5 linked regions of the Kluyveromyces lactis genome follow. The protein of the gene in region 1 interacts with the protein of each later gene in a biochemical or structural test. Links are inferred from orthologs where the notes say so. Each region holds a gene or a part of one and is shown in the gene's direction. Other genes may lie near its edges.

Region 1 (7,020 bases):
TGTATGCCCACCACTGACAAGTAACGTTATAAACGGGTACTGAGGTTTCAAACCATCAGTCTCGAGTCTCGGTATCAACAAATGGCCTAACATATGGTGAACACCAATGAACGGTTTGTCCCATGCAACAGAGAGGGCTTTTCCAACGTCTAGTCCCACAGATAACGATCCTGGCATCCCGGGACCCCTAGTAGCACATACCAAATCGATCTTATTCTGTGATTTCGTGGTCTTTAGTGCAGACTTGACCACTGATGCTATATTTTTCTGATGATGCTCATGCGCACGGGTCGGTATAACACCGCCATACTCTACGCTGTCTAAAGTGGACTTCAAATGGCACAGCACGTCGGCTGGCCTATCCTTTGTCCCACGATCCAAAATCGCTACACAGGTATCATCGCATGACGTTTCAATCGCTAAAACCCGGTATGCTCTTCGAAAAACCAAACTTCTCGGTAGACTCTTGTAACAATTAAACATTGGCCAGGAAGTATCAACGAGAACCAGAGGATTACAGTCCGATGTTCATTATTTTATCTCATCTCATCGCATGGGTCGTATAATAAAGCATAGAAGCGATTTCTCTTAAAGTTCCTTTAGTCAAACATAGACACAGACACCTTTGCACCATTAACACTTTTTTTCAGTTTCGAGCATTTTTCGATTTTTCAGATGTTACAATTTTTGAATGAAAAGTTAATAAAATTCATGAAGTAATCTAGAGCACATCATTATTTCCAGAGTCCGAAAAGCATCCTTGGGAGGTATTGCCGACAATTAGTAACTGTGGGAAACTAAAATCGGTCTGATACTTGTTTGTCGTTCGTTTGTGGACTTTTTTGAGGGCGTTTCAGTGGATACTCAATCTCTGTGCTGGCTTTGTTTCCCAAATTAAGCAAAGTTAAGAAAACAAATAGGCCTAGTGCCATTATCTTGTGAGAACTGTCGAATAGCTTGACATTTTCTCTGTGGCCTTTTATTGTTTGGATACATTCTGATATAGCAACTGTAGGCAATTTTTCCAATTAGAATTCAATAGTGATTCTGTGATAGAGATACCTGAAATCTTTGAAACGGAAGGGTCGGAAATTAGCAGCGCATAACTTGAAGAAGAAGGTGTTTCCTACACGTTGAAACCGCCATTTTTTCAGTATCAGGAGTGGTCCTTTTCATACTTTGATAGAACGTTAAGTGCCAGCTGTGCATCTTCTTCATTGTTACAATCTCTGATTTAAGATCGAACGAGGAACTACAACGGGCAGAAACACACAATTGTTAACGCAATAATAGTGAATTACTGATTCTGTGACATCCTGTGACATTTACAGCCAGATGTTTTCGTTATCATCTTCTATTCCTGTAGTGGGAACTCATGACCACCCAAGTGAAGGTATTCTTAAATCACAACAACAATCAAAACGTCATGGATCGACCGTACCTCCACCATCCGGTGGAAAAACAAATGCAGATTCCACAGAAAATGCCTATTCACCAATTGTGCATTGTATGTTGGCTGGTGGTATCGGAGGAGCCATAGGTGACTCTGCTATGCATTCATTGGATACAGTAAAGACAAGACAACAAGGTGCTCCAAGCACAGTGAAGTATAAAAACATGATTGGTGCTTATAGAACAATTATCCTGGAGGAAGGGTTGCGCAAGGGTTTATACGGAGGTTACTCGGGTGCAATGCTCGGATCCTTCCCCAGCGCGGCAATTTTCTTTGCTACTTACGAGTACACCAAAAGAAAAATGATTGGTGAATGGGGAATAAATGAAACTTTCTCTCACTTAACTGCAGGGTTCCTTGGTGATTTCATTAGTAGTTTCGTGTATGTGCCCAGTGAAGTGTTAAAGACCAGATTACAATTGCAAGGCCGTTATAACAACCCGTTTTTCCGCAGCGGCTATAATTACAAAAACCTCACAGATGCCGTCACAACCATTGTGAGGCGAGAAGGATGGCCAACTTTATTCTTTGGTTATAAAGCAACCTTGAGTCGGGATCTACCGTTTTCTGGGTTACAATTTGCATTTTATGAGAAATTTAGACAACTTGCATTCGCAGTAGAGAATAAAACGTTTGATGAAGATTTATCTCTGAGTAACGAAATAATTACCGGTGCTGCTGCAGGTGGTCTTGCTGGTATCATAACAACTCCATTAGATGTTGTAAAGACAAGAATCCAGACACAGCTACCAGATATCCCTGAAAATAGTTCTCAGAATTTAAAGCAGCAAACGTTGACAAATTCCATTACGAAAGGCATGATGACCGTTTACAAGACAGAAGGTCTCGCTGGATTATTCAGCGGTGTTGGACCAAGATTTATTTGGACAAGTATACAAAGTAGTATCATGTTGCTATTATATCAAGTTGCATTAAAAACCTTGGACAGTAAGCTTTCAGATGAAAAGAAACTTTAACACCTGACAAACTATCCCCACCATCTTTATGAATCTCGCTTCGACAAATCACAACTGTTTATTCAACTGTATCACTATTCCTGTACAAAATTGCTGCTCTCATCAATAAAATGAACTCGTCGCTCAATTGCAAGTGATTGCGCGCTTTACACATTTTAATCAGTATTATCTATCTTTACGAATCATTAGAGATAAACTACTCGGTTCCTTTTCTCATCTGCTGGTGATTTTCCCAAGAATACACCTCGTAGCTAAGCTTAACATAAGGACGTACTGAACATAGTCTCCCTTTAAGAAATCCTTGTATATACATTTTCCATATTTCTTATTATTAAAGACATTCTTATAAGACGCCTTTGCTGGGTTATAATTGCAACTGTATTGCCTGTTCACCTGGCGATCACTCTTCAAATTATAAATCCATCTACCTCATTGAATTGTTCAACATCTCTATTCTTCCTTTTCCTGCATACTTTAATGTTTAGAATAAACGTTGGAAAATGTATGTAATAAAATGAAAAAGTGTAAACGATGTTATTTAAAGAAATGAAGCTAATATTGAAATGTCACAAAACGGGTATAGGTTAATTGGGGAAAGATAACTTCAAAACGCGCCTTTGCAGATAGTCTGATAAACTAGACGACACAGAGGCTTTGTTCTGACCATCCGCGATATTCGAAATAGATGCAATACGTGGGCAGAGCTTTTGACTCTGTATCGAAGACATGGTCTTCGATCAATCCAGCAACATTATCCGGAGCAATAGATGTTATAGTGGTAGAGCACCCTGATGGCGAGTTGGCATGCTCGCCATTTCATGTTAGGTTTGGTAAGTTTCAGATCTTAAAACCATCTCAGAAGAAGGTAGAGGTCTTGGTTAACGGACAATCAACGGACATCCCAATGAAGCTTGGAGATTCTGGTGAGGCTTATTTCGTGTTTGAGACTTTAGCTGACTTGGAAGGTATCCCAGACGAATTGATATCTTCGCCTGTTGTTAGCGCTGCCAGTAGTCCTGAGAGCAAGCCAACGACAAAGGATGATGCCCTTGAAGAACCCGACTTTTTAGATATCAATGATTCAAAGATTGAGAGACCAACTACACCGACACCAATCCAAAGAATTACTAAAACGCTAACACAGAAACAGATACCATCCACTGTTGATAATAATGGAGATCTATTACTTGATATTGAAGGTTATAAAACGAGTAAAAATAAAGTAAACGACACTGATGAATTGTTAAAACAGCTGTTGTACGATGAACTTGGAGAAGATGTAGACTTGTCAGAGTTTGTGAAGGAGGATGAAAAGGGAAACATTCGGATAGTGAACCCAACAGATCCATGTTGGGCTACTTCTCCTCCCAATTCTCCACCTATGACATCGTCGGACTCCTTGTATTCCGAGCATCAATCGGTCCTCGGTTACTCATCAAATGAAGGAACACCATCCTTTAGCACCGATAACAGTAGAGTTGAAGTCCCATCGGCTGCAACTGCAACAACACACTTTATCAAAACTATCAGATTAACGTCCAAACAGTTGAAATGTTTAGATTTGTCGAATGGTGAAAACGATTTAACATTCTCGGTAGATAAGGGACGAGCAATTATCACAGCAAAACTTTTCTATTGGAAGTGGGACGATCCAATTGTGATTTCCGATATTGACGGTACAATTACTAAATCTGATGCCTTGGGTCACGTCCTAACCATGATTGGTAAAGATTGGACTCATCCTGGCGTTGCGAAGCTTTTTACAGAAATCAGAGGGAACGGCTATAACATCATGTATTTAACTGCCAGGACGGCAGGACAATCTGATTCCACAAGATCTTACCTAAGAAGTATTGTACAAAATGGTTGTACATTACCCATTGGGCCGGTTATTCTCTCGCCAGATAGAACAATGGCAGCATTGCGAAGGGAAGTTATTCTAAAGAAACCTGAAGTGTTCAAAATCGCATGTTTAAAAGACATGAAGGCATTGTATTTCCCAGAATCTAATAACCGAAAAGATGATGCTGATGAGATGCCAACTCCTTTTATTGCTGGTTTTGGCAATCGTATCACAGATGCCTTGTCGTATAGAACCGTTGGTATTCCAAGTTCTCGTATTTTCACTATCAACCCTGATGGGGAAGTACATATGGAATTACTAGAGCTAGCAGGATACAAAAGTTCCTACATCCATATTAATGAACTTGTAGACCATTTCTTCCCGCCTGTCAAAAAGTACCCATTTGTCGCTGAAGATGCTCGGAGTATTTCAACAACTCCGGGTTCGCCGTATGGAACAAACATAATGCATGATGAAAAATCATTCTATCGAGCCAATGATGAGAAGTATACCGACGTAAATTACTGGCGAGAACCAATTCCCGACCTTGATGAACTCTCTGATCTAAGCAACGATTCTGAGAAGGCAACCTCTCCATCGAAAGAAATTTACAACGAAGGTATTAGGAACAGTACAACCAATGGTACTGCTAACCAGACTAACAAAAATAGATTGTCTGTGCATGAGCCTCGGGAAGGCAATGACACGGAACTGTTGTTGACACCTCGGAGAAAAAGTGATCCTGATAATATTGGACAAAGGATGTACCTGAACCTGGGATCGCCGTTATCATCTCCTGTCCTCAAGGTACAAGACTCTGATCTCGATATGAATACTAATTCACCTTACAATAATGGATATTCTAATAATTCTGAACTATCCCAAAAGAACCAGCAGCCTTTGAAAAGACATTCATCTAGTGAAAATAGTATTTTGACTTTTGATCATCTTTCTGCCCGCACGCCTTCGACGCTAGAAGTCCAACCGGTTAATGTATATAACGATGGATCGGGACCAGTAATGGGTCAACTGCAGTCGCAAACAAGCCGTAGAAATACTAATTCATCGAATTCAAACAATAACTCTTTTGATAAGGAAATACCAAGCGATGAAAAAGGACATAATCCGGATCAACATTTCTCTGAACAAGAATCTTTAACAACAGATCAAGGTTCCGAAAACATCTCGGATGAATATGAAGATGAATTTGATGAAGACGAGTTTTGACTATTTTTCAAGGAACTACAAATACAGTCCATCAGGATTATACAGACATTATGTACCTCAGTGCAGAACATCATGAATTTAATGACGGCATGAGTTGAAAAGCACGAGAGTAAAAATGCCCAAGAATATTGCTTGCAATACCCCCAGTTTTGAACTGTTACTATGTTGGGAGTCGGATTAACATTTCCTCATTCATTCAAAGTACCTAGTCACTCGTATTTAGAAATAATATAAACTTCAAATCGGAATGACCCATATATGTAAAAAATTTCTAACCTAGTTTGACAATCTTCCTATCCAGCTGATGGAGTAATTTCAATATTTAGTAATGAAATCGCTTACACCTGTTGGTAAAATTTTGACGGAGATTGATTTCTACATTTTTATTTACTTCTATGTCTTGTCATGTCGCTGGATTTAAATAACATTGCTCGCCTGGGTAAGTGGTTCTTTTACTTACTATTTAAGACGAAACTACTTCTCAGTGAACGAAGGCTATTATTACATTACTGAAGCTTCTAGTAACCATGACATTTTCAATAAGCTTCTAAGCGTCACGGTCATCATGAATTGTCGAATGATATATTACTCTTGTGAAACTATTGACCACAAAACATGACCATAACTCAATATAAATATCTCTCCCTGCCAGAAAATTTTTACAGCATGGTTCTTTGGTTGTAAACATTCCACAGAAATTAGGCAACATGGCCGAGCGGTTAAGGCGAAAGATTAGAAATCTTTTGGGCTCTGCCCGCGCAGGTTCGAGTCCTGCTGTTGTCGTTATTTTTTTATAAGTTAGACTTCTTAACATTTCTTTTCTTGTACAACGTGTGTTGGCAACAAATCACGCTACATAATATATACCGCGTTTGTGGTTCCTAGCAGAGGTTTTGTTGAAATAATTCAAACTGCTTTTTTACCATCTGATTTGGGAGAGCATTACTGTGAGTATTAGCTGTTAATTGTATCCGATTGCACGTGTTTTTGACAAGCGTAACATTGATACCCCGGGGTAGCCGATTTTATAACCATACCAGTATTTCATTCAATAATTTTAGATATGTCTGTTCTACGGAGGACTATTGATCCAATAGCATCTCTGTGCACTCCAGGCTTAGTAACGAACAGGAGTCCCTTCTTGTTGAAACTGTGTAATGTACTGGTCGATATATTCTGATTAAACATCTCTTCCTACAGAAATTGGGCAACATGGCCGAGCGGTTAAGGCGAAAGATTAGAAATCTTTTGGGCTCTGCCCGCGCAGGTTCGAGTCCTGCTGTTGTCGTCATTTTTTTGTTTATTTAAAAACTTTTTTGTTTTAAATGCAGCAATAGATTTTAACGGTGTTTTACATATTTCAAACCCAAAGTTGTATTTGCGCTGACAATCAATTATTATCGGGGAATGTAAATCACTGCTAATCGCATCTTCAGAAAATAGTTCAGGACCTTCGCTTAACAGTCTCCATTATATTTATCAATTGGATATATTTAAGTTTTATACAGTCAGTAGAAAAT
Region 2 (5,859 bases), on another chromosome or scaffold:
GGTAAGTTAAGTAACACCACTCTATAGGCAATGAATGCTTATGCTATGCAAATTTGAATAATCTAGATTCGACCTGGCTAGAAACCTACGTTTTACTCACCGGATGACTTTGCGCCTGATTGCGTCAGCTGGCCGGGTAACAGAGGGACATTGGACATTCTCCCCCATATCTCCAGCTTTTTTTTTCATTTCTTAAGAACCTTAATGCACAGAGTGGAAAGCGATTACGAGAAGCAAGCAGCACAAACCACAGTTGACATATTACTTGCACGACATTTGTGTCTGATAAATGAATTTACAGTAGTGATGAAAAATTTGTGTAAATAATTCACGCGTATATAACACCAGAGGTTGATAAACTCCATCGTTTAGATGACTTCACCAAGAACGAGAAAAGCCATACCCCGACCAGTCGTAACCACCAGCAATACAGACGAAAGATGTTCAAAAAGATTAGAGATAAGATTCATCCAACATACAATCCTGAGGGCATCACGTGGACCAGACGCAAGTCTGGTCCACAAGTGGTAGCCGAAGTACCAGTTGTTGTCGACAAGAAAACTGGACAGAACGGCAAGGCCAAGAGCAAGAGCAAGGATAAAGCTGCCGGTGCACTACCTTGTCATGACAGATACACAGAAGAGCTCGATGTCGAGCTCGTTGTGAAACAGCTCAGTTTGGAAGACGAACTGAAATTGGTACATGATGTAGCGATGGAATCCATCGTTGCGTCTGACATTTCATCACCGTCGTCTTCATCGACAACAACGGCTTCCTCTGACAAAAATGCTAAACACGTGACATCCAAAGCTTCGTCTACCGTTCCGCCCCACAAACAAATTACCGGCAATAACGCCGCCCCATCACGTCGGGTAACAAGTATGTATACAATTTTCAATTTGGAACTTTTTTTCCGACCCCCTTTCCCTATCGGCACCCTTTGCTCCATTTGTCCTTGATCCCTGCCTAGGTGGCCCCTGAGTGGCTTCCCTGCTTGGTTTCCTGGATGTGATCGGACTAACGGAGAAGTACTCACGAACTTCCACTTTTCCCTGGCATCCGGTTCCAGGAAAAACTATACTATTTGAACAAGCAATCTTCTTCCTATTAAGTAATACTACGAAGGGGCAAACTGTTCAGTAGTCTGGCTAGTCAGTTCCTAGATTATTCTGTCAGACAAAACACTTTTCTTGCTTTCTACGCATATACAAGGGAAGGCTCTCAACCCAGTCATGCTTTCAGGCAAAAAAAAAAAAACTATTTCGATTTCTCTCTCCTTCAATTTTCCAGTAAGCTGATTCGATACAATAAATGTCTGGACTAACAAAGCAATTTGCAAGCAGTTTTAGTTTACTCTTTCCGCTTAGTATTTATTGTCTGAATAAAACTTTGAGAAAGACATGAGGACATTGGAAAATTTTTCATTGAGCCAGACAAGAAAGACGATAAAACTGTTGTTTTTAACCTGATTCTCTCCCCCCCGCATAATATTTTGAATCGGTGTGCGCGTGTGTTTGTGAGTGCGTGTGCTGAATATTTTATTTTACTGGTCTTAGAAGACGTTGCGTGTTTGAAGTTTTTGGAAAATTTGGTGAAATTTAAGGTAAAAAAAAAAGAACACCAAGAACAAGACTTCGCATATAACAATTAACACACACAGACAGATCAATCACTTCTTATCTGTTGTGAGAGAGAAAGGATTCAGAGAAAAGTGTGCATGTCAGCATAGTTTTAGTACAATACTCCTTTTTTTTTTTGAATGAAAGTTGGTGAATTGCTCGAAAGTAGCGGTGCCGGTGGTTCAAGATCTATTATTGCATATACTAACGATAAAAACGCTGGTTTTGAGACAGAGATGGATTCCATTTTACCCAGTGATGATTTAAAACAAGGCAGTCTTCATAGTAAGAACAGTCATGGTAATGATGTTAAAATCGTTCCAGATGAAGACGAAGTAATAACCCGAAGGACTGTGGTGAAAGGCCATTCCAACCCCGAGGAGTCAGTTGTTATTTCATGCGGCACACCTGAAATTGTGGGAAATGGTTCGTTTGGTGTCGTTTTCAGAACAAAAGTGAAAGAGACTGGGGAGGATGTTGTCATTAAGAAGGTTCTACAGGATAGACGGTTTAAGAATAGAGAACTGGAGATCATGAAATTGATCAGTCATCCGAATTTGATCGATTTGAAGTACTATTTCCTTGAACAATCGGACCAAGAACTTTATCTAAATTTGATTGTAGATTACATGCCCATGTCTCTTTATCAACGGCTCAAAGAGTTCATTTCCTTGCATCAACCAATGGATCGTTACGAAATCAAGATTTACATGTTCCAATTGTTCAAATCTTTAAACTATTTGCATCAAGTGGTCAATGTCTGCCATAGAGACATCAAACCACAGAATATTTTGGTGGATCCAGATACTTTACTGTTGAAAATCTGTGATTTGGGGTCTGCTAAACAGTTGAAACCAAACGAGCCCAATGTGTCATATATTTGCTCCCGTTACTACAGAGCCCCAGAGTTGATCTTTGGTGCTACCAATTACACAACAAAGATTGATATTTGGTCTGCAGGTTGTGTTATGGCTGAACTGCTATTAGGACAACCCATTTTCCCTGGTGAATCTAAGATCGATCAATTGGTTGAAATTATTAAAGTTTTGGGTACACCAACCAGGGAAGAGATCTGTTCCATGAATGAAAACTACTCCGAACATAAGTTCCCTCAGATCAGACCGATCCCATTGAATAGGATCTTCAAGAAGGAAACACAGGAAACTATAGACTTATTATACCATATCATGAAATATGATCCTAATATCAGATACAGCGCTTTACAATGTATGTTCAATTCGACGTACTTCACTGATATCGTCAGCAACACCGGGTCGGACTCAAACCTTTCGTTGATCGATTCTTTACCATTGCTACATTTTGAGGAAAGTGAATTACAAGGGTTGTCATCTAACGATATATATAGATTGACTGGCAAACTGATATAGAACCGACAAGACAAAAGGAAAACTAAAAACAAAAAAAAAGACTAGTTGAGAGAAGGAAATATGCAAATACAAATGCATTAATGTAACGTTCTACCCAGCACATCCAAAGAAAATGAAATTAATACACGAAATTAATGTGCATACAAATAGTTACTTCTCATATGCCTACTTGTTGCAGGCAACACCGTTGTTCAATGCTATCCTACGCTCCCCCCCTTTGCATATCATATTTCTCTTCAATTTTAAAGTTCATTTCAATGTCTTTCGGAAAACCTATAGTTCTATCCTGTCCCTAATAGTGTTCATATTGGGCAGTGGATTCTTTTTATTTATGTTAAGCATTCCCTATTCCTCACTAGGAAAAGGGCACTTGGACATCATAATTCTTCCTTTTATAGCAATACTTTTCTTTCTAGCTTCCGTCCTACCTTTTTCATACCGGATTTCACCTTGTCAGTTCATAATAATATCAATACTCACCTATTAAGAGCCACATGACGTGCGTGCGATTGAGTACTTAAAAACTACTGTTACCTTTTGTCCATCGTGTAACTTTGCATTTTCTTTGTCACATTTTCCTGTACAAGAACTAACTTGACAAAATTGATTTTCCTTGAAGAGAAGTCGAATTAAAAGTTTAACAGGAATATACTGGGACGGACAAAAAGATGGAAACCAAGACCCTGATACACTCAGGGGCTGCTAAGGAGATGAGCTATACTGAGAGGTATAATGTCGCACCGCTAATACCTTTGCCTGAGTATCTTTTTCATAGATTATTTCAGCTCAACTGCCGTACTGTGTTTGGAGTTGCCAATTATTCAACTGCGAAACTATATCAAGCCATAGCAGCCAGCGGGATACAGTGGATCCAAACGATAAATCAATTGAACACATCATTTGCAGTAGATGCATACGGGAGAGCTATCGGAGTGAGCTGCTACGTCACTAGCGAATCTGCAGAATTAGGCCATGTTAATGGTTTTTTTGGATCATTTTGTGAATATGTTCCCATCTTACAGGTAGTCGTCTTGGAACAGTCTCATGATCTTGAGAGGTTGATTGGAGATGTTTCAATCTTTCATGACGTAGTGGATGATCCTTCTGAGATAGACAGTTGTGTACGAACGCTTTTTTGGGGGAAACGCCCTGTTTATATGGGCCTCCGATCGAAGGATGCCACGAAACTTGTCCCCAGTAGTTCTCTAAACGGAAACATAGCAGATAAGATGGGCATAAAGAACACTTTCTTTCAAACGGACACAATAAAGAGGGTTATAGACAAAATCATTGCCGAAGTTTACGCTTCATCAAGGCCATTGATCGTGGTTGATGCATTAATTGATAGATATAATTACAACAGCACAATACAAAATTTCCTAACGGAAACAGGAATACCATTTGTGACAACCTTAATGTCAAAAGGTTCTATTGACGAAAGCTTACCCAACTTTGTTGGGACTTTCTTAGGTACCATGTCACAGCCCATTGTTCGAGAATATATGAATAATGCAGATTGTACGTTAATTTTAGGATGTATGATCGAAAACTTCAAAAACTCGTACTGTAGATTCAACTACAAGAGTAAAAACCAAATCTTACTTTGGAATGATAGAGTTAAAATTGAAAATAATATAATACCTGATATTTTACTTCATGAACTACTCCCACAGCTAATAGCGTCATTAGATACTACCAAAATAGTAAACTCTCGTCCAGTAACAATACCGAATATGATACCCAGAGTAGAACCGCAACCGGTGACATTTTTGCGACAGGAGTACCTTTGGTTTAAGATGTCTACATGGCTAAAACAAGGTGACGTTATTATTTCTGAATCTGGTACCTCAGCTATTGGTCTCCTACAACAAAAATTCCCAGATAATACTAGGCTAGTATCCCAAGCAATTTGGAATTCATCTGGTTATTCTATCGGTGCATGCCTTGGAATTTTGGCAGCATATCGCGATATGGGGACATTGGATAAGCATAGGATTATATTAATGGTGGGTGATGGGTCTTTACAATTTACTTTCCAAGAACTAAGCACCATATTGACGCACGGTTTCAAACCTTACATTTTTGTAATAAATAATCAAGGTTATACCGTTGACAGAACCTTGAATAGAGAAAAGACCCATCTGAACGCTACATACTTCGATATCCAACCGTGGGAACTATTAAAACTCCCGTCACTTTTCTATTCCCAAGAGTATTTCAAGAGAAGATGTATGTCGGTTGGGGAATTGAATAGTTTATTAAGCGATAAAGAGTTCAATAAATCCGATCAGTTGAAAATTGTAGAACTAATCCTTCCATCCATGGATGTTCCAGTACTACTCGATCCACGGGATGACAGTAGTGATGATGAATCTTCTCCGCAGCATAAAAGACCCAGAACGTGAAAGGAGAAGGGTGAAACAGATATCAGAGAACTTTCACGCTTCAAATATATATATTATTTAATAAGCACTGAACACACAAGTACCTGCTTGGTGATCAGTCTCAATGTTAACCGCATTACCATTAACAACACGGCACGCTTTTCGTATCGGCACTAACGAAGAGCACACCAAAAGTCACGTGTGCATTATACCGATATTCACGCAAAGAACAGAATGAAGTAAATAAATACTCTATTGATGTCAAATACAGATAATATGAGCGAAAAAATATCATCTTCTCAGGGTAACACTGATCAGAGATATTCCAGAACCATTACCATTAAGTTAATTGTCACGTGCCGGTCAGTACGTATCACGTGACTGTAACATACATCAGCCAACCAATCAGATCGCTTCCGTTCACAGTGACGTCCAACCTCTGACAAGAATTGCTTTTCCCCACGCTTT
Region 3 (6,728 bases), on another chromosome or scaffold:
TTAACTCTGGATGAAAAAAAATCATCCGGAAGTATGGAAGATGACGGCGATTACTTGAGTGATTCTGAAGACGTTAAAGAGTTTTACATCGAGGCAGAGAAGCTGTTACAGAATGATATAAGTTTTATAATGCGTAAACGCGCGAGTCTGGGATATGGTCTTGATCCAATGAAAACTGTCGAAATGATGGATAAATCCGATAACTTCAATAACAATATCTACATTCGCAATACTTGGAGATGGATGGCGATAGCGAAGGCATCCATAGCTGACGGAACAATGGTTTCAGGAGACTTAGATTTAGGCTACGAAGGCGTTTTAGGGATATGGAATGGTCTTGAAGGTCTCTCCAATCAGAATCGTTATAGATCTGGAGGAATGCTCACAGAAAAGCAGTTAAACAAGGAATTGGAGAAGATCATTAAGATGAGAAGCAAGAGTAAAAACAAAATTGGGAATGTTTCCAGTTTAAATTCCGAAATGTCATCAAAAAAGGCCATTCAGAGAAGACTCTGTATGATTATTAGTGGCTGGGATTTGTCTCCTTCAGATTACGAAGAAAAATATAAATCACTAATAGCTCAAAATCACTATGAGAAAGCTGCTGCCTGGGCTGTCTTCTTCGGTGACGTTCAGAAAGCTATATCTATTTTGGGATCTGCAAATAAAGAACGTCTTAGACTCATTGCTGCGGCCATTGCAGGTTATCAAGCTTATAGTGAAAAGCCAGGTGACAATGCATGGAGACAGCAATGTAGAAAAATGGCTGCTGAGCTTGATGATCCCTATTTGAGAGTCATTTTTGCATTCATTGCAGACAATGATTGGTGGGATATCCTGTATGAGAGCGCTATCTCTCTAAGGGAAAGGCTTGGTGTTGCTCTTAGATTTCTAAATGACACAGATCTAACCAGATTTTTAGAAAAAACTGCTACTACTGTTATTGAAAATGGTGAACTAGAAGGATTGATCTTGACTGGTATAACGCCTAATGGTATTGATCTTCTACAATCGTACGTTGGAAAGACTAGTGATATTCAAACTGCTGCACTAATTTCAGTTTTCGGCTCCCCAAGATACTTCATGGACCCAAGAGTTGATGAATGGGTTGAAACATATCGCCATATGTTAAATTCCTGGGAATTTTTCACTATGAGGGCCAAGTTCGATGTGCTCAAGACAAAATTATCTAGGACTAGTGATGGTCGAATTACAGCGAAGTTAAAACCTCGTCAAATGTATTTACAATGTTCCAAATGTAAGAAGAATATCAACAGACCCATTGATGTGTCTTCTAATGCATCCCTACCAAGACATGCTAATCAAAACTTAAATGCAGGAAAGAAATTCGGCCTCAATAATACAAACGGTGATGTCCCCCAACAGAAACATTCATGTCCACATTGTGGCACGCCTTTCCCAAGATGTGCTATTTGTCTCTTGCCATTGGGTACTTCAAATCTCCCCATAGTCATCAATGGCACCACCAACTCATGTGAAGTACGAATCGATGACGACGCGAAAATTAACGAGGTCAAGGAAAGAAAGCGTTTGAAAATGAACGAATGGTTCAGTTTCTGTCTCAAGTGTAATCATGGTATGCATGCCGGTCATGCAGAGGAATGGTTTGAAAGACATTCAATTTGTCCTGTTCCTGGGTGTTCGTGTTTATGCCATCAATGAAACACTCTACCAATATTTCGGACCTAAACGCTCTAGGATAAATCATTAAACTTGTTATTCAGCGTATATAATCTCTTTAATCCTTAACCTCGCCAAAAACTCATTTCTCCCACTATTAGTACATACAAATATCTCATATGCAGATATCAAGCGGCTGAACGTTGCTTTCAGAATGAATCATTACGCATCCACAAAATAATGATACTAGCAACGCAGTACCATACTTGGAAAACTTCCCCGAGCATATTCATCGAGTTATAGGATGGACCGTGGTTCAGCGATGGAACTTAAAGCCATCTTTTCCATCATTGCCCACCGTCATTCGCATGAGCGCAAGCCTCTTCACGTGACTAGTTAAGATTCCCCGATCAGTTGAAATGCGTGAGCTCTATTTCAGGAAATCATGTGGCGAAACTAAGAAAATAAAAAGTTTGATCTATCCAGATACAAACAAATATATGGTTTTTTTTGATCTCAACAATATCTTTAAGGATACCAAAAACTAAAGGAAAGAACGACTATAAACAACGGTTTATTAAGTCAGTTTAGTTGGGACTTTTTTTTTCGTTGAATATTTCTCTTACAAACATTTTTTTCTCAGTGGTTTGGGATCTTAAAATATTGGTATTCTGGGCGAACACAGCTTGAAATTGTTTCAGATCAGATCCTGTCAAAGTGGTGCGTTGATTCTATTTCATGAACTTATAAGGCACCAACTAGCCATCTAACGTATGAACACTCTGAACTGAGCATAAAAAGATATTACTATTGTATGAAACTATGGATGAAGATCGTAAACACACTGCATTCCCTGTTGAACAGGACATCTACAAAAAGATCGAAAGGGAAAGAAACATTATACTGGGTTCGAATCAATTGAAGAAAAAGACTGATAATGTCATGGTCATACAGAAATGCAACACCAATATTAGAGAGGCTCAACAAAATATAGAGTACTTGGAACAAATTCTAGCTAAGTTGAGAGTCAGTCAACAGCCAGACAATACTCCTACCAGCCAGAATGCTAGCAATCATCCCGGTTTTGGTCAGCTATCTACAATATCACCAGATGAGTTTAGATACTCTAGACTAGATCTGGTAAAGTACGATTGTCCATCTTTGTCGCAAAGAATTCAATACATGCTCCAGCAGTTGGAGTTCAAATTGCAAGTTGAAAAGCAATATCAAGAGGCTAATGATAAGTTAACTAAACTCTACCAAATTGATGGAGACCAGCGGAGTAGCAGTGCTGCACAAGGTGGATCTGTTGAATCTAAACACAGGATTCAGCTCTTAACAAAATCATTGAAAAAATATCAGGCCATCAACGTTGATATCGATCCTTTCAATGATCACACAGAAGAAGCAACTCAACCAAAGTTTAGGAGAAAACAACTATCAGGTACTCTGACTATCGGTGTTACTGCAATTAGAGATGTTGATCATATCCAATCCCCTCTATTCTCGAGAAAGCCAGAGACATTTATTACTATCAAAGTCGATGATGTGGTAAAAGCGAAGACAAAACCATCGAGAAATGATAGGTGGCACGAAGATTTTAACATAGTCATAGACAAAGGTAACGAGGTAGAAGTTACAATATATGATAAGGTTAATGACAGAATTGTACCAGTAGCTGTCATGTGGTTATTACTTGCCGACATCGCTGAAGAAATTCGGAAAAAAAAAGTCGGTCAACAGCAAAAGCAAGGAAAAAGCCACGCTGAATGGATGCAGGCCTCTAGACTTCCACCTTCTCAACCTGCGAATAATACAGCTGTAATTACAAAGGATTTACCGCAATTACCCGATGCTGGAATCCCCACGGAGGATAGAGAAGCAAACGACACCCACACGCAGAGTTTAACCACAAATACATGGTTCATCTTGGAACCTGCCGGGCAAATATTATTGACACTTGGTTTCAATAAGTCAAACACTACACAAAGAAAGACCTTCATGGGTGGATTACATCGTCATGGTGCTATTGTCAACCGTAAAGAGGATATCTTTGAGCAACATGGGCACCATTTTGTCCAAAAATCGTTCTACAATGTCATGTGCTGTGCATATTGCGGTGAATTTTTACGGTATAGTGGCTATCAATGCCAGGATTGCAAGTTCTTATGCCATAAGAAGTGCTACGCGCATGTGGTTACAAAATGTATTGCTAAAACAAGTACCGACTCAGATCCTGACGAGACGAAACTTAACCACCGTATCCCTCATAGGTTTGAACCTGTTTCAAATCGGGGTACGAAGTGGTGTTGCCATTGTGGGTATATTTTACCATGGGGTAGAAAGAACGTCAGAAAATGTACTGAATGTGGGGTTATGTGCCATGCTCAATGTGCTCATTTAGTTCCAGATTTCTGTGGTATGTCGATGGAAATGGCCAACAAAGTTTTGCTAACTATTCAGGATACTAAGCGTACTCAGCAGCAGAGAGGATTCAGTGGCATCAAAGTGAATAATAAACCCAAACCAATTTCTAAAGGCTTTGATGGGCTAAATAACAGGTTTGAGACCTCTTTTGATCATGATGATATGCATACATCCGTTATCAAGCCAACTACGCCTTCAGAAGCAAGAAAAGACCTAGTGACGGATCGTTTGAATAACTTTATAACGCAACATGATAGCCATTATGACTCATTCACCAGCAATGTGGAAACCAGCTCGCCAGATCACGGGAATTACCAACATAGCTTGGACCCCGGTTTGTCTCCTGATTCAATGAAAAAGATTCAATTCGATGCTGCTCATATAAGTAATCTTCCGCAGGCTCATGCGCAAGAGCATTTTGCGCAAGAATATGAAGGAAATTATGAAAATAAGCACCCTAATAAGCAAGACAGCGGATACGTACAAGATTATGGATATGAAGAGGAATTAGACGATTCAGAGCAATCTCACTATGAGCTTAGAGAGAGATTGAGAAAGGAAGAAGAAGAGAGATGGTACAATGAACAAAACATGTTACAACAAGAGCAGCAACAACAAACATACAGTACTGGGGACGTTGAGCTTGCCACCAAAAAGGGTGATTACGACATAATTGAAGAAACCGCCGATGTCACAGATGATCAATATTCACCGCCAGCCCAATATGAGGACCTCGAATACAGTCTCTCTACGACAGAAACTCCTGAGTTGCATGCCGCTGATATTGCCAACATAACAGGAAAAAGTTCACCATCTTCACCACAAAAATCATACACCAGCAGTACAAAGCATAAGAAAAAATCCTCCAAAAGGAGAAAGGTGTCTCTAGATGACTTCATTTTACTAAAAGTATTAGGAAAAGGTAACTTTGGTAAGGTCTTGCTAGCAAGATCCAAAAATACTAGTAACCTTTGTGCGATTAAAGTTTTGAAAAAGGATAATATCATCAAGAACCATGATATTGAAAGTGCTAGGGCAGAAAAGAAAGTGTTTTTGCTTGCTACGGAAACTAAGCATCCGTTCCTGACAAACCTATACTGCTCCTTCCAAACAGAAAATCGTATTTATTTTGCAATGGAATTCATTGGAGGTGGCGACTTGATGTGGCATGTCCAAAATCGAAGACTATCTGTCAGAAGAGCGAAGTTCTATGCTGCAGAAGTTTTACTTTCCTTAAAGTACTTCCATGACAATGGTGTTATATATCGTGATTTGAAACTAGAAAACATTCTCTTAACTCCCGAAGGTCATATAAAGATTGCTGATTACGGTTTGTGCAAGGATAATATGTGGTATGGGAATAAAACCTCAACATTTTGTGGTACACCCGAGTTTATGGCGCCAGAAATCTTGAAGGGCCAAGCGTATACAAAAGCAGTTGATTGGTGGACTTTTGGTGTATTGTTATACCAGATGCTGTTATGTCAATCGCCGTTCTCTGGAGAAGACGAAGATGAGGTCTTTAATGCCATTCTTACCGATGAACCCTTGTATCCAATTGATATGGCCGGTGATATTGTTCAAATTTTCCAAGGCCTATTAACGAAGGATCCCGAAAAGCGTTTAGGTGCTGGTCCTAAAGACGCTCTTGAAATCATGGCGGAGCCGTTCTTTAGCAATATCAACTTTGACGATATTCTAAATCTTCGTGTTGAACCACCTTTCGTTCCCGAAATCAAGGCCGCAGATGACACATCGTACTTCGAAAAAGAGTTTACTTCGGCTCCTCCAACCCTAACACCACTACCATCCGTATTAAGTTCTGTTTTACAAGAGGAATTCCGTGGCTTTTCCTTCATGCCCGAAGACTTGCAGTTATAACCTGCCCGTGTGTAGTTACATATACTAGATTTTGCTCTTACGCCTCTATTTGGATGGGCGTTTCTACGTTTGTAACTCTATAAGAGCGTTGCATTACCCATGATCTGAATAAGCAAAAAGTAATATGAAGAAATATACAGTGAATCAAGTACAAATGTGCTGCTGTTTTTTTTGATTCAATGAAACTACGTACGATTACCCACGAAACGTTCCTTCCCATTGCGTTTCCTACCGCTTAATTGATGTGTTAAGTGGCAGAGATTTTACATTGTAAGGTCACGTGAACTTTCGTATATGAATGCGAGAGGCTTATTATATTTAACACAATATCATCCTCGCTTAAACAGACACAAACACTAACCAGAGAACAATAACATATCAAGTTGGCTCACAAGTAATCAGAGAATAATAGCCATAGAGTGTCGAGGGATGTTTAAAAGTAAGAAGCTCAAGACGGTTTCGAACGCTATCAAATCGGTAGCTTCGAAAGATGCCTCGAATGGAATCTCATCAAAGATGTTTGAGCTTTCCGAGGTCAGCAGGTACGGTATGAACGGAAAAGTGTGCACCTTTGCCTTTGATCCAGTTCAGAGCTTGTTAGCTATTGCTACAGATAGCGGAGAAATTCATGTTTATGGGAAGCAGCAAGTTGAGGTTGTTTTTACTCTAGAAGTTAAGGCAATTAAGGAGATGAGATTTATCAAAGGTATATATTTGATTGTTGTCGACGCCAAGGATTCATTGAGCGTATTATCTCTTCATAAAAAAGCCCTGCTTGC
Region 4 (5,692 bases), on another chromosome or scaffold:
TGATTCAAGAACTGTTCAAGTTCGACCAGTCTTCGTGATTCTAACTTTTCTTTAAATCTAACTTTAAATCTTACTTTAAAAGTACGGCCTCAGGACTGCAAGTGATTGATGCACTTTTTTTCCGTTTAAAGTCTCGAGGACATTTGCTTAAGTAATTTCGTTCTGAGATTTGGAAAGGCTCAAGCACAATGAAACAAAATTTTCTACACCTAAACACCTGCACACCTCGTACCTGCGTGATCTGAACAAACTCTAACTTCACTCTAGCTTCTCTTTGAAATGAGAGCGAATAAATATTCACTGAAATTCACTCTCCTTGCGCTGTCAATTATGAGAGGGCTATATATTAAATGGCTGCATCCACATATTGCACAAGACAAGCTTCCTCGTTTCTCTAGTCTACCTCATATACTTTCTTTTTTTCTTTTTCCGGTTTTAATTTGGGTTTTTAAGTGGATCATGCTCGAAGCTCGAAGATGCACACGGCTGAACCGTGTTGAAAGAGAGAGACAAGGGAAAAACCAGTGTAGTTTCCGTAGTACCAAGGCTAAGCCAAACCGGTGGGGTACTCTAAGGAATGGAGGGAGAAATGGGAAAAAAAGAAAAACAGGGGCTGAATTAGGCAAAATAATCCACTAGGAAGAATGGTAGTTATGTATGTATTTATCTGTGTCATCGAGAGGTATTTTTTCAATTTTAACTTCTTTTTTTTGTTTTTCCTTTTGTTCCTCTCAGTGTCTGTGAGGGAAAAACTGGGAGCGATGTAGTAGCTTTTGAAATACGTAATCTTCAAGATCCCATTAGTTTTTGATTATCTTATCCAAGACAGGGACACAGGTATGTTTCATTTGGTGCCTGCGGCACTAATTTTTCTTGGTTTACTTGTATTTCAGTCTTTTGACTATTAATGCTTCTGCTATCCTGCTGGGCCTAAAATTTGCCTGCCCTTGCTGTTTGACGAACGGAAACCAAGAGCGAAAAAATCAGACTACTGACAGGGTTCAGTTATGGCAATTTTTTCTATTAATTCTAGCTTTGAAAAACGGGCCGGTATCATAGTAAGTTATTTTACAGACCTAGGCTTTTCGCTGACGTGGTATTTATTCTCATTTCTTAGAAAGATTCGCACGGGGTTAATGATTGGGATGGAGCTAGGTGATACTCCTTACTCTATTCATTCTCGGTGGAAACTGAAGAGTGATCGATACACGAACAACTCACGATGATGGGTTTACGGGTCTTCCGATCATATCTCCTCGTATGTGTTTGTGATCAGATTCTTTTAGTTTGCTTGGCGTCCTTGAATCATTCATATTCGGAGCGCGGAGAGGGCGAAGTTTCAAATAACTGGTGTGATTAACGATTCGGATAGATAGGCAAGAACTAAGATGAGCACAATGGTTGCAAACTAGCTGCAAGGGCTGCTTCCTTGCTCTTCATATGTGAACGAAACTAAAACAAACCTTGACACGTTTTTTCCTTTTTCTACGCCCGTTTCTACGCCAAGTTTATCTTAATTCGTAGTCTGCACTGAAAAAGGAAAAAAAAGAAGGTCTTTAATACCTCAGGGCAAATTTAGGCTACGAACTACGAATCAGCAGAATGCGACTGAAAAGGGTGTTTGCTATATGAATCAAATCGCCTACCTTAGCGTCGGTCTTTCATGAGAATAATCCTTGAGGGTAACTAGGTAAATTGTTTAGGTGCAAATCTGTATGTCATTCTTGCTTTTCATATCTTGTTCAAAGTGTGACAGTGCACCCTATGTGCTGACCACCACTGGGAGCTGTAAATAAACCATTAAGGTTGATAAAGCACCACTGTTGAACGTCTTTTTAACAACCGAAGCTATGATAACTTCCCATTGATGTAATTAGACAGTTACATCAGAAGAATGTACCTTCAAAAGCTTAAATCGTTCATGCACAATAGAAGAGAAAGGGAACACAAAAAAAAAAAAAAAATAGAAAAAAAAAAAAAGATAAGACCCTGCATACATTTTAAGGGTTCCAGTTTCTCTAGGGCACATGCTACAAATTTCTTATACAATAGCCCGTTAGGAACATCCTCGTGGAATGTAAGCCATTTCAAAAGAATAGAGTACTTTTATTTATTGCGTTAAACCCTCTTTCCGTGTGGTTATGTACATATCTGTGCTCTGCATGGAAAAACATCTGCAAACCATTGCAGTGTAGGCTGTAAGGTCCTCAGATTAAGAGGCGCCGATAACCCTGCTCATTCCAATGAGATGCTCAGAGAACTCGACGGTAAGTTGGAACCCTAATCTTTTGTACCATCGACAGGCCACATCATTGGCAGTGAATACGCATAGTTCAATTGACGGACAGGTCAGGTCACGTGCAAGTGGGATAAGTAATCCATTGAAAATAAGAGACCCTAAGCCACGTGACTGGTATTCTCCCATCAGATGGATTTCGTATAGGAACAAACACGGCCGATTCAATTTGGAGTGGTCCAATTCTGGATTCAATGGGTCGGATAATGCCACTGATGTAAAACCTACTATCTTAGTGGTATCTCTCTTGAACAAAACAATGTAGACTAAATCTTTATCCAGCATTTCATCCCATTTGAACCTAATCCATTTCTCGTTTCCCTTTCCTTTATCGTCATCAGTATAATTGTATATCGATGAGCCATGCAGCTCGTAGAACGTGCTCAAATTCTGTTTTATAATGGCAAGGCACTTCGGAAGTGTGGAACCAAGATAGTTTGGATCACCAGAGTGTACTCTATTACTAAATACCTCGCACACAACATCCGAATCACCAGTGCTATTCAATTCTTGGCAGAGTACGCCTGCGACACGTCTCAAGTTTCTACTATGGTAATTGGACATGTCTTAAGTCCATCACAGCTGGTTATTGAAACAGAAGCTCTTTCTATTGCTATTATGCTTCACCAGCGCGTATTAAGCTCCAACTTTTCAACAGTTTTTGTTGACATATTCCATGCCACTACATATTTGAAGCTAACCAACCGAAAATAGAAGGGAAAAAAAAGAAGTAATATATACATTCAGTGAATCGCAAATATAAGGTCAAGAACACTGAACAGTGAGACATAGTCACAATCCTTGGTAGTGGGACGTTGACCAATCAATAGGAGAGGCTTTAAAACATAGCTGTGTTCCAATGAATGCGATCTCTTTTTTGTCAAATGCACTTCCTGCTCCGCAGGAAGTGCCGATCAAAGAGAAGGAGGGTATATTAGTGGATCCGACCCCCACGAATACCCAACCGAACAAAGTAAAAAACAAGACGACGACGGCGTCAACAACAACATCAACAACAACAACGTCAACAGCTACGAATAAAAGGAATAGACCGTTTATGAGATGGATATGGTGCATATTAATATTCCTACCAAACTATTTGCTAATAAAACCTATCATAACGATCTGGTACGTTATCACATTCCCATTGAATTTAATGGAAACCAACACGCAGGGGAACAAAGGATTGATCCAGGTAGGATCAGAAACTGACAGTAGGACCGAGAAACTATCGAAATACGTGGTAGAAGAGGATCTATCACCGACTGATGAGATCATAATAAACCAGGATAAGATGAAACCAAGACCTATTACAGAATATTTAGGGAAATTTCATTTCCCCAAGAAATTAGTACCCCAATCAATGCTACTTTCTACCAGTCGAAAGCTTTTAGTACTCGATCTCGATGAAACGTTGATCCATTCCATGAGTAACAGTAGATCGTTAGGGAACCCAACAGACAAGAACCCTAGTGGCACCACACCAATGATACACCTGGTAGAGGTACGATTCCCGCAGACAAACATATCCACGTTATATAACGTTGCCAAGAGACCGTATTGCGATATGTTTCTCCAACAGACGAGCCAATGGTACGACATTGCCATCTTCACAGCATCCATGAAAGAGTATGCAGACCCAGTAATCGACTGGCTACAACAGACGTGTTCGGTACAGTTTCACTACAGATGGTATAGAGAAGATTGCACACTTCGGCCTGGCGTCGGTTACGTGAAGGACATCGGTACCGTGGCAACCCAAATCGAAACGTCACGTGACCTCTCTCAAATGATTATCATTGATAACAGTCCTATCAGCTACGCAATGCATCTGGACAATGCAATACAAGTACATGGTTGGATCAACGATCCAAGCGACTCGGAACTACTACACCTATTGCCACTACTAAAGGCCATGCGTCACGTGACGGACTCTCGCTGTATACTTGCACTCAAATCAGGTAGAGCATCGATCTCCAACTAACAGTGTTATTACCCTGTCCATAATATAGTACTAATTTGTAGAGATGCGAATATGTAGACAAGCGATTTAGGAACCGAAAGTAATCCCTGAACCGGCATCCAGAAAAGAAAAAGAAAAGGGCTATGTTCCTCCAATTACTCCAATTATTCCGAATGCACCCGAACACCCAGACACGCCACTAGTGGCATACCTCGGATCAGACCGGATACGGAATACATACGCGCTGCGACACTGCTCTCCAATTTTCCACTGTACCACGTGACGCTTGATAGTTTTTTTTTTTTTCTTCACTCCTTTCGACCACGCGCTACTGGATCTTCTGCGGCGACCGCATTCTGTTCTTCCTTTCTTTCCCTCACTTTGATGCGATTCTAACAAGGCGCCAGTCTTTAACTTGGCGCTGTACACCTTCACAAGGTGTGTCTACTTGGTTAATACGTTGACCGAATTACGGTTTGTGTTAGGATATGGATCGTTAATAGCATATAGGCGTATTGTATAAGCCTGTGTCTTTGTGTTGTATGAGTAATAAATCCTCTTCTGTTCTGTACTGTGCTGCTGTTTCTAACTGTCGAGGATTCCATTTTCGCGAAGATAGCGATTTTAAATACCTTCTTGTTTCTTTATTTCACTAATTGTTCCGTTGTAACTTGTAACTTGCTAGCGATTTTTGACTTAGCTGCCACTCTGATATGTTGCCAGTAATTCATTTGTTGGAGTTCTAAGCTGCAACCTGTAAGCTGTAAATATCGGCAATCAATATTGATATATATATATATATATATATATATATACATATATAAGGTAGACTAATTTTGTTGTTAAAAGTGGAAATATATCTCTTGATAGGATTTTTTCAGACTCATCATCACTCATTAGGTTTGATTTGGAAGAAAGACATCCGGCGTCAAGAAACCACATCCCATTTGAACAATGATTAAACTTCCCGCTAAACTGCTTGGTTCCAGATTTTATTCTTCTGTAACCAACCAGAATCGTTATTCTGTCACTAGGCACAATGCTCCAAAGAAATGTCCAGAGTCCGGCCATTACAATAAAATTCCAATTGGCAAAGAAGCTGCTAGGTTACAATCCCAACCTAAAGTGACTAGACTGTCTGTCGATGGACCAATTGAATGTCCTTTGGAAGGTTTCCAATTGTTGAATTCACCATTGTTCAATAAGGGATCGGCTTTCACTTTGGAAGAAAGAAAGGCATTCGGTCTAGATGGGTTGCTACCACCACAAGTGAACACCTTGGATGAACAAGTGGAAAGAGCTTACAAGCAACTCTGTTACTTGAAGACCCCATTGGCTAAGAACGATTTCATGACTTCGATGAGAGTGCAGAACAAGGTTCTTTTCTTCGAATTGGTCAGAAGACACATTAGACAACTGGTACCGATCATTTA
Region 5 (6,895 bases), on another chromosome or scaffold:
ACCACACATTCTATCGCGTTCCTAAACTATCTTGCCTCAGCGTCTTTTCTAATGCTACCGCTGGAACACTTTAGAGTTACTGGATCCTTTGTTAGCTTCTTTCCTTTCGAACGCTTGGCATAAAACCCTGAGTGAATAAGTCCAGTTTATATTTATACCATATGTGTTCTTTATTTATATAACACAAAAATTTTTTTGTTACTATAATTACCAGTTTTAGAAATGTAAATACAGTGTGATCCATAAAGGCTTGAAACAGAGAAGACCAAAGGACCAGAGGTTTGAGTTGTCCTGATGGAGGTTGTAATTCGTAGGGCCATCCTGTATCTGGTGTAACTGGTATAGTTTTGTTATGTAGTACTATGATGAGGTATGAATTGCATGTCTTTGCGTATAAGATTCATAGTTCAAATTCAGACATGTGGGCCCAATTCATTAGGACGATCATATTTCAGTAAGATTAGTAACCGTAGTAGGGGTTTATAGAAATGGAGGTGAGTTATGATTTTAATCACAAATCACCAAAGGATTGGTAGACTTGGTTCCAGTCGTTGTAGAATCCGTTAAAGAATTTAACTGCCAAGCCGATATCTTTACTACCAGTTGTAGCTCTAATGCTATGCATTGACCATTGAGCAATACCCATATCAATGGTTCTAGCACCTGTTTGGGATGCTAAAGAAGGACCAATGGTGCCTCCAGATCTGGAATTGTTCTTGATTTGGAAGTATTGGATCTTGTCCCCGTTCAATCTACCCAATTCTTCCACCAATGCGGTCCCAACAACGTCTGTAGCCATATGAGCGTTGGAATCCAATGCAAGGGTGATCCCAACGTTTGGCTTTGGTTTATGGTTCTCTAAATATACTGAGTTGAAGTTTGGGTTTAACATGTGTGTGACGTCTGCAGAGATGATGATAGAGTTGGCGAATGCCGTACGCGTCTCAGAGACGTCGTTTCCCCTGCTAGCAACGATTCTTTCGACCACTGATTCTAACAATCCACCTTTAGCACCTTGTCTTGTCAACGATCCAACTTCTTCGTCGTCATAAAGCACTGCGACGTTAAATCCATCCTTTTTATGGCCAGTCTTCTTGTGCTCTATCAACCCATTGATGGCACTGAACGAGCAGATTCTGTCGTCAATACGAGGAACAAAGATGAATTCGTCTTTAAGACCGCCGAAAGTACCCTTTTGCACATCGAATAAGTCCAAGTCAAATTGCGTAATGGCAGACACTTTAACGGATAGTAACTTGGCAATGTATCTCAATAAATGGATACTATGTTTGCCGTACAACGGGCTCTTCTTTTCATCCTCGACGTCGTGGTCCTCATCATCATCATCGTAGTCTCCATTACCGACGTAGCCAATCACGGGCACAGTTTGGTCCTCCTTATCGAATGGACCAACACTTGGTGCACCGAAATGTGGTGCCAAAGATGGAATCCTAGCGATAGGGTGTGGAGCCGAGTTGCACAAATGCGAACTGATCTTACCAGTATCAGGGTCCTTAATTAGGACACGACCACCGATCCCAAGGTCTCTGTCTAACCACAGTTCATTTAAAGTACCACCGTATGGAGCTACACCTAACAATTCGAATCCTTCCACATCAGGTTTCTTAGAAGAAGGTTTCAACTTCGCAGTTAAGGCGTCAATATGGGCACCAATGATACCAACACCTAACTCAGGTTTCCATTCGGGTCCCACCGCAAAGGCACAGAGGTTTGTACCATTTCTGGTCGTATAGTAATGGCCCGGTTCAACGTTGGACCAAGAACTCTTTTCACTGAGATAACCGAAGCCATTCTCTTCCAATTTCTTGGCAAAATACTTGACGACGTGGTAAATGGTAGGGTTTTCATATGTGAAATCTATGTACTCTTGCGAGTACTCTCTGAACGTCGCTTTGTTCGAGAATTGGCTTTGCTTACTAGTCGACTTCTTGGTAACCTTGTCATTTTGGTTGTTAACGTCTCTTGACCTAGGTTCAATGACGGCTAGTTGTTTCAAGACGTCGCTTAGAGCGTTGATAGTTTCTTTGCTTATTTCGATGTGTTCTGTCATTGGGTTGCACTTTTCGGATGGTGTTTGTCTCTTTGAGCGCTGTTATGTTATCAGTGTCTTTATCTTTAATATAGGGGAGAAGAAGAAACTGTGATCGATAGACGTTAAAAGTAATTCAGAGTCCTGTACAGCGAGCGAAATATGACTTGAATTGGGAGCGGAGTGTGAATATCGAGGGATAGTAACGTTATTAAGCGTTGTTGAAGATCAATTAGTTACTATTCTCAGGGGAGAGTGGTGCGAGATGGTTGCTATAAGATATCATGGATAAGTTTAAGTCATAGTTCGTATAGGCAACAGAATTGATAAAGGTCACGTGACAATATCTAGTTGTTTTCGGCCGTGTAAATTCAAAGGTCACGTGGTTGTGCCTATATTTCATTCAGATAAACCAAAAGTGCTGATGCCCGTGCCCGTGCCAGCACACTGGCAGCAACCAACACAATTATTGAACCAGCGCCGAAAGCCCTGGTTCAAATCTATCACAGCAAGTTGAACTTGCCATGTTCTCGACTTTACTGCTTCTGCCAATTTTCGCGTTTTCGCGTCTTCGTCTTCGCGAACAAAGCTCAAACTCGCGTCTTGCTAGTATTTACTAGTCGTGCAGAATGACTTCAACTATTTACCAAATAAAGCCCTTTCATGAAATATATGCACACATAACAATGTTTGAATCAGAATTTGAAACCAAACAACATCCAAGAGAGAAGACACCAAGCAACGTTAACATCATCAGTAACGCTGATTTGTCGCTCTGCTGGAACTGCAAATTACAAGGCTAGGTCTACCATTTGAATTATAAGGAAGAAGAAGAATACTAATAATAATAAGAAGAAGAAGAATCATTGATTTGATCACAGAGTGTGTTTATTTTCCAATCATTACATTCGCTTATCATACTTAAACACTCACACACGCTCTCTTCTGCTCTTTTGCTTTCTCAATTTCACTCGCTTGCTTTGTTTGTGCTAGATGTCGTGTGCTGTTCAAGCTGCCGTTGTGGCAATGAAGGATAATTCTAGTCACGGCCAGGTCCCATATCGTGCAAATAATGAACATTTGAATAGGGTTGTTCAGTCAGTAACAGACGCTACTAAGCGTCTTTCACAGATTTCGACTGCATCGTCGAATGCTAATGTTAATAATACCAAGACTTCGAAGAGGAGAAACCGCGATACGGTAGGTCCCTGGAAATTGGGTAAGACTTTGGGGAAAGGGTCATCGGGTCGAGTTCGTCTAGCAAAGAATATGGAAACGGGGAAACTGTCAGCGATTAAGATAGTTCCCAAAAAATTCGTTAAGTCGAACCAGATCAAACAGCTGCCATATGGGATCGAACGTGAGATTATCATTATGAAGCTTATCTCGCACCCCAATGTGATGGGTCTCTACGAGGTATGGGAAAACAAATCTGAGTTATATTTGGTATTGGAATATGTTGAAGGTGGTGAATTGTTCGACTATTTGGTCTCGAAGGGGAAGTTGCCGGAAAGTGAGGCTATCCATTATTTCAAACAGATAGTACAAGCTGTAGCATACTGCCATGGGTTCAATATTTGTCATCGTGATTTGAAACCAGAGAATTTGCTTTTGGATAAGAAAAAGAGATCTATCAAGATTGCAGACTTTGGGATGGCTGCCCTAGAGACTTCGGATAAACTGCTGGAGACCTCGTGTGGCTCACCACATTATGCTTCTCCTGAAATCGTTCTGGGTCGGAAATATCATGGATCCCCAAGTGATGTTTGGTCCTGTGGTATCATCTTGTTCGCCCTGTTGACTGGACATTTACCCTTTAACGACGATAACGTCAAGAAATTGTTGTTGAAAGTACAGTCAGGAAAATATCAGATGCCCCAATGGTTATCGGTAGAGGCTAAAGATTTAATTTCTAGAATCCTGGTGGTAGATCCAAATAGAAGAATTACTATTGACCAAATCTTACAGCATGAGTTGCTGACGAAATATGATCAGAAATCTCGCAGTAAGTCTAATTCGGATTTGAATCTGTTGAATCGTACTCCAAATATTGTGAGCTTTTCGTCGGAAAGGGACATCGATGAGACAATCTTATCCAACCTACAGATCCTATGGCACGGTGCTGCAAGGAAACATTTGGTGACAAGACTTATGAAACCAGGATTCACTGAAGAGAAAATGTTTTATTCTTTACTATGGAATTATCAGGAGAAACAACAGAAATCGATGCAAAAGGATTTAATACCTGTTCCTACGTTGAAAACATCGTCCGCTTCCTCGGTCAGTCCATTGAATATTTCATCTGATGTGAATAGTGTAACAAATACAGCGAAAAAACAACAACAATCAAGTAACGGAACTGTACTGCCAGCATCGATGGCTCCAACAATATCGGCCTTTGGACAACAAATATCATCTGATAGTTCTGAATCTAGTACCCTACAGGCTCCAAAGATCCACCAGAAATCACATTTCTCGATAAGTTCCTTGAAAAATGGAAGTTCAAAATCTCCAAAGAAGACAAAACAGGGATTCATTGCTTCTTCCTCCTCCTCAAAACTTTTCCAACCAAACTTTGGCGCAAAATCTTCCTCACAATCGATATCAAAATCCAGCTCTAAGAAGTCATTGACTCCTACCACTCCAAAGAAAAGAACGTTACAAAACTCAGCTTCAAAGAGATCGTTGTACTCTTTGCAATCTATTTCTAAACGTTCAATAAACTTGAACGAATTGCTTCATGACGAGTTGCAACATGAATATCCACCTCCGCCTTTACCTTCTATTTCATCCTCGGAGCACACTTCATCCAAACTTGAATCTATTGTGGACGATTATGATAGAAGTACGTCTGTGCATGGTGCAACGATGGATAATTTCCTCGGTGAATCTGGTCAGCACATGAAAGCTCAACAGAATGAAAAACTTACGCAGCCATCGAAGAATATACTGGCACAACCAAAACTGAACAATCAGCCACAGACAGAAAATAGACAAAGTGTGACATCAATGAAACGGAAGACGGCTGATAACACAATAGCGACTGTTCCTGTTTCTATGACTCCGTTGAAGGATATGACCAATACATTCCAATCCAAGTCCATGTATGTCTCATCTTTGGACCCCAAACGTAACAAACCTAAGCCATCACTTGAGAACCTTCTAAGGAAGGTCAGTGTTCCACAGAGAATCAAGTCAAGATCTACCATTAGAAAGCTAAGAGATAGTGGGGATTGGACTGTAAGCGGAGAGGCGCAGGCTTTGTTTGGTGGGAAAGGTTCTTCGGAAGGTGAAAATCAATTGCAAAGGCAGAAGACTAATCCAAGTAAGTTGACAGCACCGGAAACCGTGTTAACTACCAGTACACCTATGACTGACATTAAGCCTGATCTCTTACGCATGCCATCGTCGTTGATCAATTCGTCAATGACATTCAAAGATCTCTCTCAGTTTATCATGAATATCGATGAGGATAAAGTACCAGTTACTCAGGCATCTAATCCTGTTAATACTGATCATGAAAAACTCTCGGAAAATCAAACTTTGATGATTGAAAATGATTCGAACCGGTTTGAGACCAGTTCCAATTATGACGATTATAACGTCAATACTGCACCAGCGGTCACAACAGCCGGTGACATCGATATTTTCGAAGACGCTCCAGACGATGCTAATGAATCTGTTACTACTTCTGAGTCAATGATCGATCAGTCACAGCTTAACTTGAAGAAAAAAGCTGCTTCTATCGATTCAATCGATACAAGTCATGTCCTGACACCAGCAACGGATGTAAGAGTCAGTTTATACATCAATCAAATGGATAAGCTGGATAATTTACCAAGGGAAACGACAGAACAAATTATATCTAAGTTCAAATTGAGTCCCATCAAAGATATCAAACAAAAGCGATTTTCGAATGGTGACAGAGATTTAACCATCACCGGTTCTATGATCTCGATGTTCAAAGATCTCGACGGTGATGAAAGCCGTGCTGAATATGACGATAATGGACTGGGACTCCTAGGAAGTGCATTAGATACACGTCCAGTCGAAAATGAAACCAATGAAGACACAAACGGCACTACCGTTAAAAGAAATTCCACTGTTCTTGTATCTTCTATCAATGGCGATAACCTGGACCTATCAACAGAAGAACAAAAGAACGATGATGGAAACCATGGTCAAGGTCAGACTAGAAGGGTGACTTTACTATTTGATGACGGAAGTTCTGAATCCGAACAGGTCTTCAAACCCGTTGCCGCAGAAAGAAGACAACCGACGCTAAATGCCAACAGTACGACGACAAATAACGTTGGCAGCAAAAGGAAATCCAACTACATAAACAAATTACCAAAGATCAAAGAGGATGAAGTGAAACCAATTACCAGTATGAAGTCTTCCTCCCCCGTTAATTGGTTCAGTAAACTATTACAACGGATTAAAACCTCGAAACCAAAGCGGACAGTATATGAATACCGGACCTCAAGTATACCGTTTGATAACATTCACATCTTACTCATGACGCAATTCGGTAAGAATGGTGTAGATTGTGAGTTAAAAAAGATGGAACGTAAGGGAGATAAAGAGTACGTGACGTACGATTGCAATTTCGGTGGTATTAAGAGAAATCGACCCAAGAGTAAATTTACCGTTGAGATGAGATGCATGAATGGTACGGAGACAGTGCTAAGTCTGGAGACTCGCAGTAAGAGGTTCGTTAACGATAAGGATACTATGGCATCATTTGAACGGTTCAATAAAGACGTTGCCGGTGCAATTAGTGCACAAGAAGAATAAAAATATCTGTAAAACTTTGTAACAATAGAATAATATATATATATCTTA

The links.
Region 2: of the proteins of PAH1 (region 1) and KLLA0_F17006g, one has a biochemical effect on the other in vitro, tested with the Saccharomyces cerevisiae proteins (2 studies listed by BioGRID). The link is inferred for Kluyveromyces lactis from reciprocal best matches to the Saccharomyces cerevisiae genes PAH1 and RIM11.
Region 3: of the proteins of PAH1 (region 1) and PKC1, one has a biochemical effect on the other in vitro, tested with the Saccharomyces cerevisiae proteins (3 studies listed by BioGRID). The link is inferred for Kluyveromyces lactis from reciprocal best matches to the Saccharomyces cerevisiae genes PAH1 and PKC1.
Region 4: of the proteins of PAH1 (region 1) and NEM1, one has a biochemical effect on the other in vitro, tested with the Saccharomyces cerevisiae proteins (8 studies listed by BioGRID). The link is inferred for Kluyveromyces lactis from reciprocal best matches to the Saccharomyces cerevisiae genes PAH1 and NEM1.
Region 5: of the proteins of PAH1 (region 1) and HSL1, one has a biochemical effect on the other in vitro, tested with the Saccharomyces cerevisiae proteins (2 studies listed by BioGRID). The link is inferred for Kluyveromyces lactis from reciprocal best matches to the Saccharomyces cerevisiae genes PAH1 and HSL1.

Annotation. Positions count from the first base shown.
Region 1 is NC_006040.1:830,314-837,333, reverse strand, and holds PAH1 (phosphatidate phosphatase PAH1), read left to right. Parts: upstream 1-3,115; coding exon 3,116-5,500; downstream 5,501-7,020. Other genes in the region: QRI7 (putative N(6)-L-threonylcarbamoyladenine synthase), read right to left, coding at 1-483; MME1 (Mme1p), read left to right, coding at 1,336-2,430. UniProt on the Saccharomyces cerevisiae protein: Mg(2+)-dependent phosphatidate (PA) phosphatase which catalyzes the dephosphorylation of PA to yield diacylglycerol. Required for de novo lipid synthesis and formation of lipid droplets.
Region 2 is NC_006042.1:1,559,007-1,564,865, reverse strand, and holds KLLA0_F17006g (serine/threonine protein kinase RIM11), read left to right. Parts: upstream 1-1,759; coding exon 1,760-3,007; downstream 3,008-5,859. Other genes in the region: KLLA0_F17028g (uncharacterized protein), read left to right, coding at 441-959; KLLA0_F16962g (uncharacterized protein), read left to right, coding at 3,676-5,412. UniProt on the Saccharomyces cerevisiae protein: Serine/threonine protein kinase that is thought to function in regulating kinetochore activity and entry into meiosis. Could phosphorylate IME1.
Region 3 is NC_006041.1:576,890-583,617, reverse strand, and holds PKC1 (protein kinase C), read left to right. Parts: upstream 1-2,463; coding exon 2,464-5,949; downstream 5,950-6,728. Other genes in the region: SEA4 (Sea4p), read left to right, coding at 1-1,683; Rab GTPase-binding protein SRO7, read left to right, coding at 6,379-6,728. UniProt on the Saccharomyces cerevisiae protein: Required for cell growth and for the G2->M transition of the cell division cycle. Mediates a protein kinase cascade; it activates BCK1 which itself activates MKK1/MKK2.
Region 4 is NC_006041.1:1,649,737-1,655,428, forward strand, and holds NEM1 (Nem1-Spo7 phosphatase catalytic subunit NEM1), read left to right. Parts: upstream 1-3,155; coding exon 3,156-4,280; downstream 4,281-5,692. Other genes in the region: NAT4 (N-terminal L-serine N(alpha)-acetyltransferase NatD), read right to left, coding at 2,213-2,860; MAE1 (malate dehydrogenase (oxaloacetate-decarboxylating)), read left to right, coding at 5,214-5,692. UniProt on the Saccharomyces cerevisiae protein: Catalytic component of the NEM1-SPO7 complex which acts as a phosphatase and dephosphorylates the phosphatidic acid phosphohydrolase PAH1. Essential for the formation of a spherical nucleus and meiotic division.
Region 5 is NC_006042.1:1,252,858-1,259,752, reverse strand, and holds HSL1 (protein kinase HSL1), read left to right. Parts: upstream 1-3,043; coding exon 3,044-6,847; downstream 6,848-6,895. Other genes in the region: glutamine--fructose-6-phosphate transaminase (isomerizing) GFA1, read right to left, coding at 1-9; metalloaminopeptidase APE1, read right to left, coding at 512-2,071.